Yarrowia lipolytica: one gene and its partner. The protein of the gene in region 2 interacts with the protein of the main gene of each other region in a pairwise test. Links are inferred from orthologs where the notes say so. Each region holds a gene or a part of one and is shown on either strand. Other genes may lie near its edges.

What was found.
Region 1: the proteins of YALI1_B24564g (region 2) and YALI1_D14156g interact in a two-hybrid assay, tested with the Saccharomyces cerevisiae proteins (2 studies listed by BioGRID). The link is inferred for Yarrowia lipolytica from reciprocal best matches to the Saccharomyces cerevisiae genes MGL2 and MRP8.

Annotation. Positions count from the first base shown.
Region 1 is NC_090773.1:1,414,294-1,417,698, forward strand, and holds YALI1_D14156g (uncharacterized protein), read right to left. Parts: upstream 1,388-3,405; coding exon 716-1,387; downstream 1-715. Other genes in the region: YALI1_D14125g (uncharacterized protein), read left to right, coding at 1-388; YALI1_D14180g (uncharacterized protein), read right to left, coding at 3,066-3,405.
Region 2 is NC_090771.1:2,454,224-2,458,398, forward strand, and holds YALI1_B24564g (uncharacterized protein), read right to left. Parts: upstream 2,184-4,175; coding exon 741-2,183; downstream 1-740. UniProt on the Saccharomyces cerevisiae protein: Converts monoacylglycerides (MAG) to free fatty acids and glycerol. Has a preference for palmitoyl-MAG. Does not play a significant role in ethyl ester biosynthesis. Also possesses ester hydrolase and low but persistent TAG lipase activity.

The DNA of each region.
Region 1 (3,405 bases), on a different chromosome or scaffold from region 2:
GGAAAACACATATGGAAAGGCGGTCTGGAGAAATTGGTCGCTGGACAAGTTTCTGCGACGAAAGAGTGACTGGTGGGTGACTCTCCATGCCACTGATGACGCTTTAGCCAAGGAGTACGAGGAGCTCGGAATCCCTCTGGACGCCAAGTCTCTGGCCAATCCTGGACAGAAGCGATTTGGCCGAGGTGGAGCCCGAATCATCACTCGAGGAGGAGGAACTTTCCCTCGAGGAGGAGGTCGGGGCCGAGGAGGTTTCCGAGGAGGTCGAGGCGGGGCTCCCCGAGGAGGATTTGGAGGCTCTGATCGAGGAGGATTCAAGCGAGCCAACGGAGGAGATGGAGAAGACGCCTCTGGAGACCGATCTCGAAAGAAGGTCCGAAACGAGTGATTTAGAAAAGCATTATATAGTTAACGGGATATGGCACAGATATCTGATCAGATACGGAGACGCTTGAGTGGCGTACCTATAAGTAGTCCTCTATAGGCCGACATGTAATACAGTATTTAAACATCATCATCTATCATCTGCTTTTTTTTTTTTCACATTGTCCTCAAATGAGGAAACAAAAAACTAAAATAATATACTGTGTACTGTTTCTCTCTCGATTGGTGGTCTCATGGTTGTCATTTTTTCGCTCATTATTAATTCGGCCTCGAAAAAGAAGAATACCGGAAGTCGTAATGGATTTTGTATCAATAGTCATAGCGGGCACATCTACCAGGCGTTGGTGCCTCGTCGCTCCCGCAGACCAAAGAACCGGGCGAGAGTATCAAATCGCTCAATGGCCTCCGCCTCCGACAGTTCAGCAGACTTTCGGGCGTTCTCCATGGCCTCCTCAAGCTCCTCCTTGCCCAGCACCTCTTGGAGCTTGGCAAGTTCGGCTTCGTCCGGAGGCAGCAGCTCGTAGAACCGCATCCACTGTTCCACCTTGGCATTATCGAGCTTCTTGAACTCTCCCAGGGTCTTGGGGAATACCCAGTCGGGGTGGGTTTCGTCGTCGAGCTCCTGGGCGGGGCACATGCCATCAATTCGGGGCAGCGAGGCAATGAGGTCGGCGTCTTTCTGGGCAAAGGAGTTTGCGGTTCGTCGGATCGACTTAGTCTCGAGGTTGTCGAGCTGGTCCTGGAGTTCGGTCACAAGCACCACGAGATCCTCAGAGGTGACGGCCTGGCTGTCTTCGGACGATGAAGCCTTGTCCTTTTGCGACTGGACTGGCTTGCCTTCCACGTCGGTGATTGTGAGGTTGTTGAGGGCGCCCTTCTCCTGGTTCACCTGGATGGAGAGCACCTGTTTGCCGGTCTCAGCGACCAGCCCGGTGACTTTTCGGAGCTGGGCAGAGAGAAAGTCGACCTCCTTCTTCAGGCTTTCGATTGTGGGCTCGGGCATGGCGGAGGTGGTGCAAAAAGGATGTTTTGGGGGTGTTGTTTGTGTAAGGGAGAGTTGTGGAGATGTCGAAACGCAGTGTCTGGGCGGTTACGGTATCGTGCAGTAGCTAGTTGAGATGCGTCAACTAATTCTAAATGAGCACTGCGCCAAGGTTTCCGGGGATGTCGTTTGTTTCACCGAGCAGGACAAGTCGTTGTGGTAGTACGAGTACGTACGTGCTTGTATACGATGAGTCCGCAAGGTTTGGTTAGAATGAACAAAGAAAATACGATGGCGCGATCTTAAACCTGAGTGTTTCCGATCGGAGGTGCTAGAGAGGCTCTTCAAAGCGCGTGTGCTGCGGGTTGCTGGTTGCAGGCCCTATCTGTTTTGAGGTACAGTACGACACACTGTAACGGTTGTCGGGGTGTAAGAGCTCGTAGTCACAGCCGTTCGATTCGGGGTTGAGTCAATAAAGAGAGCCAAGGGCGTTGTAAAAGAAGGCGGAGGGCGGAGGGCGGAAACAAAACAACATAAGGAGCAGCCGGCAAGATTTATATACAAAGCACTTCTGCTCCAGAGGACAGCTTAGTTGACTCGCGCACAGCAGGGTCTCACTCTTTTTCATTTGTCGCTTTAAACTCGACATTTCTTCTCCTATGATACGTGAACGTTGTCCCTATAACACTCAGGACAAAGCTGTGCACTGCTGACTTGACCCGCCATGTATGGACAGCAGCAGAAGGCCATCTCTCGTTCCTGCACGAGAAAGAGACCGGGTGCTCGGACCAACGCGCAATCTCGTCTGTTTGTTGCCTCCTCTGAAACGTTACAAGTACCGTCATCTCTTGAGTCAAGTGTCGTCACCTACAAGTAGTACGGAGTACCGTAGTCGAATACGATATCGTACTGCTGCTTGTTGTACAGTACGTACACACAATTCGGCACAGATCACCGCACTCTGACTGCCGACTTTACCGACATATCATAAAACTATGGACCCACCGATAACTACAGCTGCGGTCTTAACAGCAGCTATTTCACCGATAAATTCCCCGACGTGCATCCGCTGATACACTTGATATAGACATAAGGCTTCGCAGCACCAGTCTTGTTCTTTTTTGACCTTCATTTTTCAGTTCATAGATTGTATGGCGAGCCAAAGCCAAAGTCCTGCTACGACGTTAAATAACTGCCTGTGGTTCTGGACGAATACGGGCCACACGCCGACCAAACAAATCTTATCAGCGTGAGAGAGCAATCTTCTCGCTATAGCCGAGCCGGGCCCTTGCGCAACGCCCAGAGTTTTCTGTGGACGTGCTTGCTTGAGGGGAGCATGCCGTTAATAAATAATAGCTAAAGTGCGGTACCAAGCTGGGAACTATTAGGAGAATACACCATAAAATTTATATACTATACTCTACATACATGCTTGTATATATTGGGGCAAATAACCGTCCAGTTATACCTATCTGATGCTTAGAGGGGGTCTGAGAGGATGCGGAACCACCCAAACGGGCCTTGTATAAATGGCCACTTATGAGAGCAAACAAAAAGCAGTTTGGGGTCTGAGTGGAGGCAAGCCGTCGTCATGAGATCGAAACACCATGAATTACATGGTGGTTGAAAGTTAGTTGGTGAATGGGTTGTCTCGAGGCACACACCGCGTTACGTCTTTCGCTCCAGCCGCACGTTTACCCTAGCTCTCTTCAAGCTCACGTGACGATGGATACGAGGGGGCTCTCTCAGTACTTGTACTTGTAGCTAGACAAAAGTCCGGTTGCTTCGTTTCAACGCCCGGAGAAGACTCCTTGGAGCTTTCAGAAGACAACGAGTCCGCCACCGAAGCAGGAGACACACTGCGAGAGTGGTCGGAAGCGTCTGGAACGTGCCCACTGTTCACTTGCTTCATATACTCTCTGAACTCGAGCTGTTTGGAAGCAAAGTCTTGGAGTCTGTCCTCGTGTTGGGCCTCCAGAGACTTGGAACGGCCCGAGTCCACGGACGAAGACACGCTCTGCATCATGTGGCCGTTCCTC
Region 2 (4,175 bases):
CCATCGATGGCAACGATGGATTTTACCACTAAACCATCGGCGCGATTTTCATGACCTGGAAGAAATAGTGACAACCACACAGTGAAAAGTGTCATTTTTTTCGGGTGACGATTTTTGAAGTATCTGGAGGTTTGTGAAAGAGAAAAAGTAGCATTAAATTAACTATAATATCTCCAAGTATGCCCCAATATTACTCTTATGTCTCCTGTGTGTCTTCTTCGAATTTTTGAAACTGTTCTGGATGTGACCTGCTATAGAGGGGTGTGCGTAGAGAGTGTTTTGGAGGATATTTAAGATGAACTGAGCATAAAATTGTATGGAATGATAATGGCGATACTGGTAGCACTTACGTGACCCGTTTAATCATTCTTTAGTTATATACAACTACTGATTTTTGATTATCATGAAATTGCAGGACAGCAGGCACCATGAGAAGTTTGAAACTTGTCTAAGATAGACTGGTGTGGTACGCAGACAAACAGCATCAATTGATCAAGGCTCTTTGTGTTCTTTTAGTACCGGTAACATTTGATTGAGTCCCATATCTCAAACAAAGAGATTTTGTATATACGAAGAATGAGTGATATACAGCACATAGTGTTATACGCTCTACGAACGGAATCATTACAATGCCCAAACTAATACACTTACACCCATTGTGTTATGTTATCTAATACTTTTGTTAATCTATATTTCTAATTACTGGTGAAGTTCGTTCATGGGTTTGCATCGTTCATGGGCTAATCGTATCGAACAGCTCGAAGTCTATCATTCTCCCACCGACGCTCCAGTCGCTCCACCTTTGTGTTGTTGTCCTTGGTGTGATCCACCTCCTTCTCAAACTGCGAGAAGAAACCAGCAATCTTGGAGGGGAACCATCGTTTGTCCTTGCCCCAGTGGAACCAGCCAATGTGTCCTCCATGATTGGTGGCAGCCATGACGGTGTAGGGGTTTCGCTTGATCTCGTGGTAGGGCAGCTGGAAGCCGGGAGCCACGGGGTCGTCCAGGGCATGCAGAATCAAAGTGGGGACTCGGATGTTCATGATTCGGTTACACGACGAGCCATGTCGATAGTAGTCGGTGGCGGTGTCGAATCCGAACATGGGGGCGGTGAACAGGTTGTCAAAGTCGACAATGGACTTGACCTGCTTAGTCAGCGACTCGTCGTAGATGGGGTTTCGCTTCATGACCTCCCGGTGGTTTCGGAGCATTCGCAGCAGGTTCTTAGCCATCTGGGGGTTGTACAGGTGTCGTCCAGACCACGAGCTTCGCAGGGCGTAGTATGAGGCACACAGGTCCCAGGGGTTGGCAACAACACAGGCAGCCTCAATGTCGATGTCCTCGGCCTCTTGGCCCAGGTAGTTAGCGAGAATGGAGGCTCCAAGAGAGAAACCCACCATGTAGAATCGCCGGTTGGGGTATCGCTTTCGCATATCCTTGACAAACCTTCGCACGTCCTCGGTCCAGCAGCCGTTGAACAGCTCGGGGGTCTTGATGGTGGTTCGGGCGCATCCTCGAGTGTTCATGACAACACACTCAAAGTCTACAAGGGTTCCGTCGGCAGAAGCGTTGTATTGAGAGGTGATTTTAGCAACAACAGCTCGCACGTAGGACTCATAAGAGCCGCCGGTGAGGCCGTGGAGAAGAATCAGCATGGGCTTGGAGTCGTCGCTGTGGTCGAGCTCCACTTCCTGGGGCTGCTTGTATCGGGTTCGAACTGGGAACTTCGGGGTGTTCTCCTCGGGCTTGTACTCGAGTCCCTTCTTCCAGGCCGCCTTTTCCTCAGGGGTCTTGGGGGCGGGGACGACGTAATCGGCGGCAATCTGAACGCCGTCGTCGAAATCAACCATTCGTCGGGCGTAGTAGACCAGGTCGGTGCCATGGAGGTCGTTCTGAGAAGCCATGATGGTCTGCACATGGTTGAGGATCTTGAGAGGGTTGTACCACAGAGTGTCGCCGTTTTTGAGGCCGGGGACCTGCTGGATCAGAGCGTCGAGCGACTCAGTCTTGCCGTTCTTGAGATGCAGCTCCAACGGTTTTCTGGGCTTGGTGATCTTCACATGGTCTCGTGACTTGAAAATGAAGTAGGCGGCCAGAAACAGGCCAACCACCACCTTGTGTGCGCCCAGAAACGACCAGACGTAGTCGGCCAGCCGTGCGGATCGTTCGATAGTGGGGTTCATGATGTGCGAAGTACGATTCGGGTCGGGTCTCAGTAACAGAAATGGCTGCACCAGATTTTATATATGTGATGCGAAAAAAATAAGCCTTGCAGGCCGCCGTTAAATTGCTGCATGACGAGTTAAAAGGGGCGTGATAGATAAATGAGGGATAGGGGGAACGAGGCCGAGAAGCGGGAGCGGGTTGTTAAGCCGAAAATCACGTATACGACTGATCATTCTATGAGATATTATCATGTGATTAGTGCTCTTGGGGAATTCGGGCTCGTTGTGCCGCTCATTGCCCACTGTACCTCATCAGTCATATCGCCAAAGTCAACGTCACGTCAGCAATGACTTTGACTGGACGTGAGTTTAAGAGCCTTCACGGTTGACGCCAGAGGGATATTCCGAATAGACGTGCGATTACGGTTGCCGGTTACGAATTTAGCGCAGTCCGACTTTTGGACTGGCTTCCGTTGCGTAGCATGTACCAGCATTGTCCCCTCCGCAACGACAAGACTCCCCCGCCCCCTCGTCTTCTCGGATCGGCTTTAAGCTACGCTAACGCCGATTCCGTCTCCAGCCGGAGTTTTTGTCTGGTGCTGCGTCTTGTTGAGTTGAAAATCCGCAAAGTTGCGTCGAAGAGCCCGCGTATACGCACAGAATGCGCGCACCCAAACAGATAAGCCGAGGTATCGGAGGTTGGTGTCGGCAAAAGGGACAATCTCGCACACGGTGCACGAGACACGTACAGTGCTAGTAATTATAGTAAGGCCAGACAGGTCTTTTTTTTTATTTGGCTGTAAGAGGGAGGGGGCTGTGCACACGTTTGCAGGTCAAGATATAAAATGGGGACGGAGTGTGAAGAGTGGGATAGGTAGGGGATTATGCACCGAGTCGCGAAAACTCGGCCTTCGGCTCATTGGCATTGTTTTTGCTTCCCTGGTTGCCATCGTTATCGGCTTCCAGAGCCCTCCTTTAATTTTGACTCGGACGGATTAATGTAATTGTCCGACAAGCCTTGATCAAGCAGGGTCTCGGTAAGAGCGGTGGAGCACAGCAGAGCAATCTCGTCCGGTGGAGGAGTACTTGGAAAATAAAAGCTGAAATTGTAATCACGTGATCAGCTCATTTGATTGGTGTGTTTTTCTTCTTCCACATTGTTCTCTTTTTATCACGTCGTTCAACAAACCTCTGACTGCTCCACGAACCTCCTCCTCCCAGCTGCTGCCAAACTGCTCGCTTTGGAACTGCCGAATACGAACGTTTGAAACAAGCAAATATTGCACCGTCCTGCGCCGCCTAGAGCCCGATCTGTAGCTGGATTGATACCAGCACGTGGTTGGACTGCAATGGGGATATATAATCCAATCAGACACGTATAATTGCCAACCTCCTTTGTCATAAACCAAGTGCTGGGCCATGCCCTGTTAAGTATGAAGTACACACTTGACTCCATCAACTAAGTATATTTGACTTGTATGATTCGCCATAGCTCCCTGATAATACCCAGAAGAGCGACATCTGGAGACTAAGATCGAAAAAAGTGTCTTATTGTTGCTCTTTTCAGCCTTACTCGTCCATCTGAGAATCACTCTCTTCCCATTCAAGCCACCTCTCCAGCTGCTCACTTTAACTCTCGTTTTTACAACAGACTCGACGGGCAGACTCGGGCCATAAATGAAAGCTATAAACCTGAGCTCCGAGAAATGCCATGAAGGACCAAAGGAATTGTAGGGTGGAAGAGGCTGTCTGTGATGCTGAATTCCAGACGGGATTGATTTCTGCGTAGTTAACTTCACTTCAACGAGCCCACCCACTCAATTTAAGTATGATCCCAACTAGATTACTTCGAAGGCAGCTACAGTACAATGTGTAATTAGTTATAAACAATTAGTGGGATAAATGAAGGGACAATAAGAGAGCTGCATTCTTGTGTGTATGTACTACGGTAAAGATATCGAGTAGAGAATTGAAGGGCTGAAAGACAGGGTAAAAGAGTATAGCATCCAC